Linked DNA regions of Schizosaccharomyces pombe. The protein of the gene in region 1 interacts with the protein of each later gene in a biochemical or structural test. Each region holds a gene or a part of one and is shown on either strand. Other genes may lie near its edges. The genes, in order: pkl1 and gtb1.

What was found.
Region 2: the proteins of pkl1 (region 1) and gtb1 interact in a test that uses a peptide from one of them, tested with the Schizosaccharomyces pombe proteins (one study listed by BioGRID).

The regions. Positions count from the first base shown.
Region 1 is NC_003424.3:3,436,854-3,442,659, forward strand, and holds pkl1 (kinesin-14 family minus-end directed microtubule motor Pkl1), read left to right. Parts: upstream 1-2,036; 5' UTR 2,037-2,079; coding exon 2,080-2,091; intron 2,092-2,129; exon of another isoform or gene 2,130-2,133; coding exon 2,134-2,767; intron 2,768-2,820; coding exon 2,821-4,508; intron 4,509-4,633; coding exon 4,634-4,798; 3' UTR 4,799-4,833; coding exon of another isoform or gene 4,834-4,942; 3' UTR 4,943-5,070; coding exon of another isoform or gene 5,071-5,195; 3' UTR 5,196-5,264; downstream 5,265-5,806. Other genes in the region: U5 snRNP-associated protein Aar2, read right to left, coding at 168-1,208; pfd6 (prefoldin subunit 6), read right to left, coding at 4,834-4,942, 5,071-5,195, 5,274-5,344, 5,395-5,434.
Region 2 is NC_003423.3:2,789,543-2,794,968, reverse strand, and holds gtb1 (gamma-tubulin Gtb1), read right to left. Parts: upstream 3,619-5,426; 5' UTR 3,500-3,618; coding exon 3,451-3,499; exon of another isoform or gene 3,389-3,450; coding exon 3,276-3,388; exon of another isoform or gene 3,227-3,275; coding exon 3,173-3,226; exon of another isoform or gene 3,104-3,172; coding exon 2,627-3,103; exon of another isoform or gene 2,583-2,626; coding exon 2,118-2,582; intron 2,068-2,117; coding exon 1,952-2,067; intron 1,894-1,951; coding exon 1,827-1,893; 3' UTR 1,748-1,826; coding exon of another isoform or gene 1,242-1,747; 3' UTR 1,151-1,241; coding exon of another isoform or gene 1,018-1,150; 3' UTR 957-1,017; coding exon of another isoform or gene 942-956; 3' UTR 785-941; downstream 1-784. Other genes in the region: P-TEFB-associated cyclin T Pch1, read right to left, coding at 1-3; protein Cwf12, read left to right, coding at 942-956, 1,018-1,150, 1,242-1,747; H2O2 scavenger glutathione peroxidase Gpx1, read left to right, coding at 5,422-5,426. UniProt on the Schizosaccharomyces pombe protein: Tubulin is the major constituent of microtubules. The gamma chain is found at microtubule organizing centers (MTOC) such as the spindle poles or the centrosome, suggesting that it is involved in the minus-end nucleation of microtubule assembly.

The DNA.
Region 1 (5,806 bases):
TGAGTATTAATGTTTAAAGTTGTTATTGTCATGATTTGTATACTGTAGATGTGTAAAATAGATCTGTATTAAGTGAAGAAGTACCAACTTTTAGTTGCCTATCAATACAGCACTACTTTAGTATCCAATGTCGCTCATTGGATACATTCTGTAACAATATAAAACCTTCAGTGAATTGGATCTTCTTCAGTGCTTACGTCTATAACATAGTCACCGGTTTCGTGAACTTCAGCTTCATAGTCGGCAGCACTGTACAAATCTCCTTTCTGCATTAAACCGGCTTGTTCTTCATGAGAATTCAATAACTCAGAAATAGTTTTTAGGAGATTTTCTATCGCTTCGTTTACTAGAGAACCAAAGCTACCATCCACTTTCCTTTCACTTAGACTATCAAGGCAAGATAGTAAAACGCCTTTCTCAAAAATGGCAGACGTTTCTAAGTCGGATTCACTTAGTGAGCTAAGCTGAAGTTTGAAAAGCTCCAAAAAGGAAGCGTAAAACTCTGGTTCAGTTTCCGCCAATTCATAAGACTGCAATAGCAAACTCAACATATTCTTCCAATGCTCCAAAGCACCATAGTGGGAGAGAATAGAGTAGCTCAGAAAGGAAATTGATAATTCCGCTAATGCAGAGATGGGATTGTCATTCCACACGCTTTGGACGAGTCTTTGAAACAAAAACGATTTATCAATTGCTTGCTTAGACCGTTCAGGTCCAGTGGCAGACGGCGACCAGCTTCGTCGTAAATTGAATTCAGCGAAATTTAATAGTTTATCGTCTCGAGAGGGTTTTGAGAATTCCGGATCTTGTGACACAAGATCAGCGTTGACATACGTTGAAGTGTCTAAGTAGAAAAATTCACCTTCAGTAGCAAAAATTCTTTGAAGATCTTGAACTGTAATGAACTTCGTCAACAAGTCCCAATCCTTTGTTGATTCAAAGGGATAAAAGTTTTCGTCATATAATACATCAAGCTTCTGCAAAGAAGCTGTTTCAGATTTCGAATCAAAGTCGATACTATATTTCATATCTTCATGGACCATAGCAAAAACTCCAGAAATTAATCCAGCAGGGTATGTTGGAGACCAAGTGAAAAGATGAATTCCACCTTTTACATTTCGAATACCTGGAAGCTTACTAGCTTCATATGAACTCTGATCAATGCCAACGTAATATGTATTTAACCATCCGACAAACTCTATACTCATTATATACAAAACAAATTATTCCATATCTTCATTTATTTTGTCTATTAAGTTGAATTTAAGATCGTAGACATTGGTCAAAGCTAAGTTTCAGGCTACTGATTTAAGAGTTATAGCGATGGATATTATAAAAAACACCATAATACATTAAAGGTTTTTGGGTGTCAGCAATTCTACACTACGCTATAATATACATCGTTTCGTATCACTAAATATCGCCTGCTAGAATAGTAGTTAAGATCTATTTATTCATAGTTACGGATAAAATTCCATCTATCTAAATATATTCCAATTGATATAAATTAATCGAGACATTTTAAATAAAGCTACAACTGAACCTCGCTCCTTTAGTTTAGTCGTTAGCTAGATCGCTGACTGGACACTATTAGACTTCTTTAAAGTAATAAAAGTAACAATTGTTAGTTAAACGTACAACCTACCGCTACATGGCAAATCGTAATATAAGCTCACCGAAATTTTAGGTAGTGTTACACATTTCCGCGGACTTTGTAATTCACTTAAAGACACGTAAGGATACACTGAATTTGTTTGAGATATTCCAAAAATCAATCAGGGAATGTGGAATTACATAATATAAATAATATTACTTAAGTACTATTTGTTAATGGAATCAATTGTATTCTATACACCATTGATTAATAACATAGATGGATATACACGAGAGGCTTGAGACATATAATGATGCGTAGCATTGGAATTTGCTTAACAATTTAACACTCATATTTAACCCACGTAAAATAGTTTTACGTTTCTTAAAGCATCTGCTAATCAAAATCTGTTTTGTCGAGCTGATAAATTCGTGTTTATAGTATTGGGAAGAATTACTCTATAAAACGCTCTTTTTAACTTATAGATGGTAATTGAGGTAAGAGGTACTTCTGAGTAACTTATCTTATTAATGCGAAAGAATACAAAGGACATTTCCATAAACACAGGGTATAAACGACAGGAAGATGCTTTAAACACAGATTCTGAGGACTTAATATATCGACCAAAAAAAATTATTAAAACAAATCAAGAGGATGCAGTACATGATTTGAAATACGAAAATTTCGTATCAAAAAATCACGTTTTACAAAGCGACATTAATGGCAAGAAGAGGGACAGCAATCGAGACAAGGCCGCTGTAGTCACAGCGCCAATTGCTTCTACTCATGAATCTAATTACGAAGAATCTGTTTCCAAATTTAAAGAGAGTTGGCTGCCTCAATTAAAAGATCTCATTGAATCTCATAAAACAATATGCGAATCAACGTTAGCCTACGAGAGTGATCAAGCTATGGCTTCTTCTAATACATTAAAGAGAATAAAAGATTTAAAAAGCAAACCAAAAAATATTATACAGTTAGAAAGGTTGCATATGCTATCTAATGGCGAACATCGTTTATTATCGAAAGACGAAACCGATGATATTGAGTCTGCATACTTGAACCTTAGATCACATCTTCAGGTACAAGAACAGGTTTACGCTGAAAAGGATCATGAATATTCGTTACAACTTCAATCATACAGAGAGGCAGCAGAAAAGGCCAAGCAAGATAGTAAGAATACATGTCTTTATGCTGACTTTATTTGATTACTAACTATTTTAAAGTTTTAGAAACAAAAGAAAATCTTTCCTCTGAATTATCGATATCGAATATCCAGTTGAAGGAAGCCAAGGAAAGGTTAGAAGCTGCGAATGCAAGCTACCAAAAGCTACGTCGAGAACACAAAGAACTTGCACTTTATCATGAAAAGAAAACACATTCTCTAGTTTGTAATCTAAATGGTGAACGAAAATCCTTTGGGGATTTTGTTGAGAACGAAGTAAAGTCATATAAACATGAATATGCCAATATTTGTGAATCACTTCGGAGAGCTCTAGTGCTGATACAAGGTTCTTGTACTGAGAAAATTTTGCGTTTTAAAGAAAAAATTCTGGACTTATTAGAAATGAAACAACAAGAAGAAAATGATCGAATATCCCACATTGAATATGAGAATGATTTAACGGTTAAAAAGCTTAAAAGGAGAATATCTGAGTTGGAAATGGCAGTAAAAGAATATGAATCGGAAAAATCATACTCGGAAAAAGAATATGAAGAAAAAATCTCCTCTCTGCGTATAGAATTAGAAGACAAGTTAGCTGAAATTGACATGCTTCGAAATAAACTGTTAAAGGAAGAGCATAAACACCACTCTACATCTGAAAAACTTGAAGAACTTTCTAAATATGTTGCAAGTATTCAAGATAAAGAAAGAAATAATGGCCAGAACGCATTGGAACTACAAGCTCGAATCCAACAGCTGGAACGGAGAAATGAAGATATGTATAATAAACTGTTAGCAGAAGAAATAATCAGACGAAAGCTGCATAACGACATTCAAGAACTAAAGGGAAATATTCGAGTTTTTTGTAGGGTTAGACCACTACTCCCAAGTGAAGAATCCGAATATTGCATTGCTGATGTTTTACAATTTCCAGATAAAGACGCACTAGAGCCACAAAAACTTATTCTTAAAGGGCCTAATGTTGAATCATCACTCGGGCATACTTATGATCGTAATTATGAATTTTCCTTTGATCGAGTCTTTGCTCCTGAAAGCGATAACTCGTCCGTTTTTGAGGAAATATCACAGTTAATTCAAAGCGCTATTGATGGTTATAATGTTAGTATATTTGCATATGGACAAACAGGATCGGGTAAGACGTACACAATGTCGTCACAAGACGGTATGATAGCGATGTCAATTAAGCATATATTTAATTATCTATCAACCTTGAGGGAGAAAGGGTGGGTGTATAAATTGAGAGGTCAGTTTTTGGAAATTTACAATGAAACGATTTATGATCTATTAAACAAAGCGGAAATGTTGAAAAATCCTAAGCACGATATTCATCATGATGAAAAGGAAAGACGAACAACAGTGGATAACGTTTCAATAATTGATTTTAATGAAGAAGATACTGTTTACAAGATGCTAAATCGAGCAGGAGAAAATCGATTTATAGCAGCGACAAAAGCAAATGAACGGTCTTCAAGATCACACACTGTTTTCATGCTGTATATAGATGGTGAAAATTCTAGAACCAAACAAATATGTAAAGGTACGCTAAATCTAGTTGATTTGGCAGGTTCTGAGCGGTTAAGTTACAGTCAGGCAGTTGGGGATAGACTACGAGAAACGCAAGCTATTAATAAAAGTCTCAGCTGTCTTGGCGATGTTATCCATGCACTTGGAAATGCCTCAAATAGTACCACGAAGGAAAAGTCTCACATACCATACCGAAATTCAAAGGTGAGTATTAGAATGAAAAGTTCTTTACGAAACACGTTCTTTAACTGTCAAAGTGGCTACTTATTTGCTTTGCAGCAGTGTGTAAAGTCTATATTGAAAGCATTTTTGTACTAACCAGACATTAGCTAACTTATTTGTTAAAATATTCACTTGGAAAAGGTGCCAAAACCCTGATGTTTGTTAATGTGTCTCCTTTAAAGTCGCAATTCATGGATACATTAAATAGTCTGCGATTTGCAACAAAAGTCAATGATACAAAAGTAGGTTCTATTAAACATTATAAACGTTAAGCTTATTTTAGAGTAAAAAATGTTTACCAAAGCATTTAAGATGCTGGGTTTGGTGGAGCAGCTGCTGCTTGTGCTTGAATGATGGCACCTTTAACTTTGCTGAATTCTTCTTGTGAGATTTTTGTTTGATTTTCGAGGCGTGCACTATAATTATGAATTAATAAAATGACATACGCAATTCGATAATACAAATGAAGAAGTACAACTCGCATTTTTAGAGAGCGATTTTAACCTCAAGGAAATTCTTCTTTTTCAAATTTCAACAAACATACATTTCTTTATTAATGAAATCCAATCTTGTTTTAACGTTGGTCTTTGCTTCCTCATGACTTTGCTTTACAAGGGTAGGACCGATTTGCTTATATATATTTGAGTCAGGAGCCACTTTTTCCAATTCCTAATTCGCATTAACAAAACAATTCTAATATAAATGGAGAAAATAGGGAAAATAGTAATTTTTGTGGCCTTAACGTACATTGAGGACAGTAGTGTTTTCTTGTAATTGGGTTTCCAACTTTTTTAAACTTTCGACATAAGTGCTTAGTTCTTGGGAATTTCGTTAATTATTTAATTCGATGCAGAAGGTTTTGATTTACCTGTTTGTAGGTTCTGATATTTTTTAGCTAATTCCTCCATTTCTATTCCTGTGTAAAAAGACGTAAAAGGATAGTAGGTAAAGAGACATTCTACTTACCTTGAAAGTCAGCTGAAATAGCGAAGTTCGTTGAAATTCTATATTATGAACAAAATATATTTTAATTGTGTGATATGATTGATTTTATGACTATATTGGATAAAAACGAGAAATAAATAAAACCGAATTAATTTAAACAGAGAAATGTAAGCTACACTAGGAAATCGATTTATGAATGAGTGAATGAAGGTGTTGCTGAAATTTTGAGTAAAGACTCACTGTTTTGATACAACAAAACTACTTGGTTCAGTATATAAATTAGTGAATTGCAAACCTTTTTTTTGAATAAAGGATATGAAAAATATTGTTTTAGT
Region 2 (5,426 bases), on another chromosome or scaffold:
CATGTGAAATTCATCGATTTTATATATGAGATTACCGTCGCCAAATTATTAAAAACAAACTATAATTGAGCAAGAATAAGCAAAATCAAAGAACAGTAAATCATTTAGTATATAATTAACATACCTCAACTAAAGAATGCGAAGAATGGAGGGTGGTTACTATCTTTCAGGGGGAAATCTACCACAACGATGCTTGTCCATTTACGTTGATTGAATATAGTGATTATTAGAATAATTCGTAAGTCAGTTTTAACGATTTTGACGGTCTCAACGATTGTTTAATTTTAAGTCTTTGTAAGATATTCAAAAAATCAACTGTATACTTATAAATCGTTCTGCTAATCTCTTATAAACAACTCTTTTTTAGGTTAAAGCCGATACCAAAGAGATGAAATGAACTTTTCCAAATGATTGATGTTACCTACTTCATCAACAATTGCCTAATTCTTGACAGTATATTGAATACGATGGATTAAAAGTGGTAATCATTTTGAAAGGGACCATTTATGCAATAATATCATCCTTTAATTGTAGTGAACATAAAATACTTAGTTACTATTTAGACTAGTACTTTTTTTAGAAGAGGACTTCGTTATCCATGAATTAAGAAGCTTGTTGCGCTTCAATAAGCTTATTCACTTTGGCTGTTCTTTTCCGTTTTATAAAGTGTTTCTTACACGAAATAACTACTTGTATGCATTCAATTTCTTGCTTATAAGTTTTTTGCTTGTCTTCACAATCGGTGGAACTTGAGCAAATTTTCAAGTACTTAAATAAGAATTGGCTGTTGAAGGTCAATTAATTAAGTGTTGGGTTTGCCTTGATTTCGATAAATACCATAAAACTTGTCTATATTATTTATTTTCTGTGTCAAATTTTAATGAGCCTTTCCTTCTCTATTTTTTTAATTACCAAGTCTATCATTTTCATTTAATTTTACAATGTCATCAGCGAAAGTAAGGTTCATACGAATATGCATGAGAACCTAAGCGTCAGTCACTAACCCCTTTGTTATAGTATGTAGTGGGCAGCAAACCAACGGAAAAGAGACCCAAGGATATAAAAAGCATTAAGTCTGTGCCGATATGTGAAAAACATAGGGCTAGTGTAGTAAAAGATATCTCTCGCAAGATCTCTCGAATTCAAAGTGGTACGTCCTAGATTGTTTTATTAGCAAATTTAATTAACTTGCTAAACTTGATTCCGCTTTTATCATTTCTGTGTATTCTAACCATGAATAGCAACGTTGCCTGAATATCAAATTCGAGATTTGAACGATGCAATTAATCGATTGATGCGTGAAAAACACGAATGGGAGGTACAAATTCGTGATCTGGGTGGGATTAATTATCTGTATAATAAAGCAAAGCTATTTGAGGATGAAGGAGAACAAATCAGTGATATAGACGATTATCGTTATTACGGAAGAGCTCGAGAGTTACCTGGCGTTAAGGAACTTTTTGAAGCTGATATGAGTTTTATACCGGAAAGACAGCGCAAACAGGAGATGCAGAAAAGAAGGTTAGACGCCTGGTACTTTGGTTACATACCGCCAGCACAAGAGAGTCTATTAGAAGATTTTGAGGCAAAGATTGAAGAACAACAACATAAACATCTTGAGAACCTTGGTGATGAAGTTGAACAAGATTGGAAACCTCTTGTCATTGAGCAAATACCAACTAGAGACGATGTTGAAGCCATTCTTTTAGAAAGGCGTAAAAATGCTTTGCTGAGCAGAATTTCATAGATTATGAAGTAGGACTAGGATAGGAGAATTAATTTTATATTTTAAGTCTGCTTTGACATCGTAAACTATGAAGGATTTTTTAAAGAGATAAATAATTGGGATCTTCACAAGCTTCGTATTCATTGATCAAGTCGGCAACGACGTCGCTGTCAAATACATTAGTAAATTAACTCAAAATATGAAATTATAAGACAAGATACTTACCGAGAAGAATCGAATTCGTTAAGATCATCTTCGAAAATAGCCTCCTTTTTATATTGCTCTAAAAAGGCATTTCGTTTCCGCAAACGATCATATTGATCTAGTGTTCTCTTGAATAACTACAAAGATTAGTATTAAATGTCTCAAAAAAAAATTTGCAGAAACATACAGAGGCAATACTAGTGTGATTTGCAAGCATAAGTCCACTAACACGGTGGTTCGTTTTTATATAGGGCGACTTTTTAGAAAGTGCAACTTGTATACTTGCTGGTCCCCAAGGAATGAATGAAGCGTATCGTCGTTCTCTTATGCGAAGCAAGGATTTGTGAACGTCCGCCGGATCTGCTTCTCCTTGAATGATATCCAAAATACTAATAAAGCAACTCTTTTTGCTAGGATTGACGGAAACCATCTGGTTTTTAGGCAACAACAACCTTCTCATCACATCAAGCACGGTAGTTTTCCGAATGGCCTTTGCTTCTTCCACTTGCTGATTGGTAAAAGGAGTGTATGAGGTTAGTAAAAAGTGACAGCGAGGACTTGGAATTAATGAAGCTATTATACTGACAAGATCGTTGTTCATGTAGCCAGGATATCTTAAAGTTGTTGTACTGGCAGACATAACAGTTGAAACCTAGAATAGTTAGTTGATGAAAAGACCTAATATAAATCAATTACCAATTGGTTTTGTTGATGAAACGTAGGGTTCTGAGTATGTAACCGATCAGCAGCAATATGAGCAAGTGCTGCATTGTCCAACACAACAACAGAATCAGCATTCAATGTCAGTCGCTTCAATGCAAGAAGACTGTTGTAAGGCTGAACCACAACATCTGATACGGATTGACTATTAGGGAATACTGAATAAGTTTGGATAATCTTCTTGGGATAACGATCGTTTAATCTCTCAAGCAAGAAAGAGCCCAGCCCAGAACCCGTTCCACCAGCGATAGAATGTAAAAGCGAGAAACCCTCTAGAGAATCACTTCCATCAGCTTCACGATCTATCATGTCCATTATATCTTCAAAAATCCTCTCAGCATGCGAATAACCATTAGCCCAATTATTGCCAGCACCTCCTCCATTTTTGGTAATAAGTATATTTTCGGGATTATAAAGGCTGCCGTAGGTGTCGCTTAGAATATTGTTGACCACCTAAGGTAAAGAGGACATTAGTCACTTGAATATTTCAGCAAATACTAATAAAAGGATGCGATAACATACTCTTGGTTCCAGATCAATCAAAATGGCTCTAGGAATGTATCTAGTATCATCAGACTAAAATGAGTTAACATGTTGAAACTTTAAAGTGTATCAATAAACCAACCTGGTAGAAAAAAACGTCTTTTCGATCAACACCCTCAGTTGCGAAACTTTCTAGCGTGCCATCAGGCCCAATGCCATGTTCCAAACACAACTGTTGCCAGAATTGTGAACCAACTAGACAAGTTTGTGAGTAATTAGAATTTCGATTTGATTAATAGTAGTATAGGTGAACATACTTTGATTACCACATTGACCAGCTTGTAACGTAATGATTTCTCTGCCCATGATTAAACAATGAAGGAGCAAACAATCTTTGATGTTTGCTTCTTACTTAAAAGTACAACCGCGAAAGATTTTTTGCTGAAATAGGTGGTTTTCAAAAGAAGGGTATCTTGAGGTATTTCGCTGTGCTTGGGTGAACTGTAGGTCGATAAGAGAAGGTTGGTAGTAAGAAAAGCAAACATTTTCCAGGTCAACTAGACTAGATTATTATAAATAATTACATATTTCTTGACTATAAATTTATCAACCTTGGAGCTGATTCGAGCATTGCTGCAAAATTCAATTAGGAATGACAATTTTTCTAACAGGAAATTAGAAAGCCAAAGTAAGTGAATTTAGAATGTGTCATAAAATTTAGTATTGATTACTATCGTATCTAAATATTTCTAAATCATTTAGTACATTATTTCGTAAAAAATATATGCAACTTTGAATGTAAATATTAAAATTGAAAGTAACACAATAGACACAATTTATGAGTGTTCGAATAAAAAAATAATAGTGATATAAAATTAGACAATTCATGTGGATACTCAAACACTGAAACAAATGATTTTCCAAAAACTAAAAGTATTTTTGAAGACAATTTTATCTTAATTAATACAGATTGTAGAAAATGAAAAATTAACAAATAATTATTTGGCAAAGGTCTAAATATTTTACAAATTAATAAATAAATAAATTAATTGAAAGTAAAAAAAAAAATTGAACATAAATTTTTACTGAAATTATAATTAAGCTCAATAAGGTAATACCACACAACAACAGTTTGATTTTAATATTTATTTAGCAGGTGTAACATTTTTTTTTATTAACAACAAAGTTGCGAGCTTGTAAAATTGGGTTTTAACTTAAACCAAGATTTATTAAAAAAAGAATGTAAAGAACGACGACATATTTACAATGTTTGGAATTTAAAACTTAATAATAGAAACCGAATATCAACATTTTCTATTTCAAAAAAATACTGAGCATTTCTTAATAGTTATGCATATATATATACCTTTTAGCAAATGATTCCAACTAGCTCTTGTAGCTCAGTGGTAGAGCGCTTGCCTAGTAAGCAAGAGGCCCAGTGTTCAAGTCACTGCTGGAGCATAATTTTGATCCTTTTTGCTTTTTGCCCTTCAAAGGGCAAAAAACAATACTTTTAAGATAATACATAAATAATCTATCACTGATACCTTTTTCTACATCCTACTAATTTATTTGTAGATTAAAGTAAAAAAGTAGTTATACGGTTCCTTGTTTTTGTCAAATAATTTGCCTGTGTCCTATATCTTGTTGCAGTGCATATTCTTTTGGATGGAAGAAATCCCACTCTTAAAGTTAGAAAAAGGTTTCGCTTCACTTTCAACTTTAAGATAAACAACATCGGCCATTGGCAATCTCGTCTACTATTATTTTAAACAAAAGGTAGCAAACCATTACTAGGTGTTGTAACTAACGCAAACTACTTAATCGTTTGCTGCTACAATCGCCCCATACAATGTTTAGATACCTATACTGTTTAAGTATGAGTCTCAGCCATTCTATGCATAACCTTTACAAATACGAAATTTGAAATATTTTTACTAAATAGCAGCAAAAATTTCTGTCATTTTGGTGGTATGTTGACAAAAGACAATGGCAGTATACTGCGACATATCCTTTTTTTAACTTTAAAAGCAGCAAACAAAGGAAAAAGAATGTGAGACTGATTAAATAAATAAGATTTCTTTTGATAAATGCGATCCGACTTTTCTTCCTTGGAATTTTTATTAATTTTACGTAAATTTCTCTTGTTAAAAGATCGTGTTGACCCAAACTAAGGTCTGATGTCATTATGAAATAAGGTCAGCTGGAAACATAAGTAGGACGGTCAGCCGCGCTACACCTTACTTTCAACCTACTCATTCTATTAGTATTGAGTTTTGTAAGTTAAAATGTC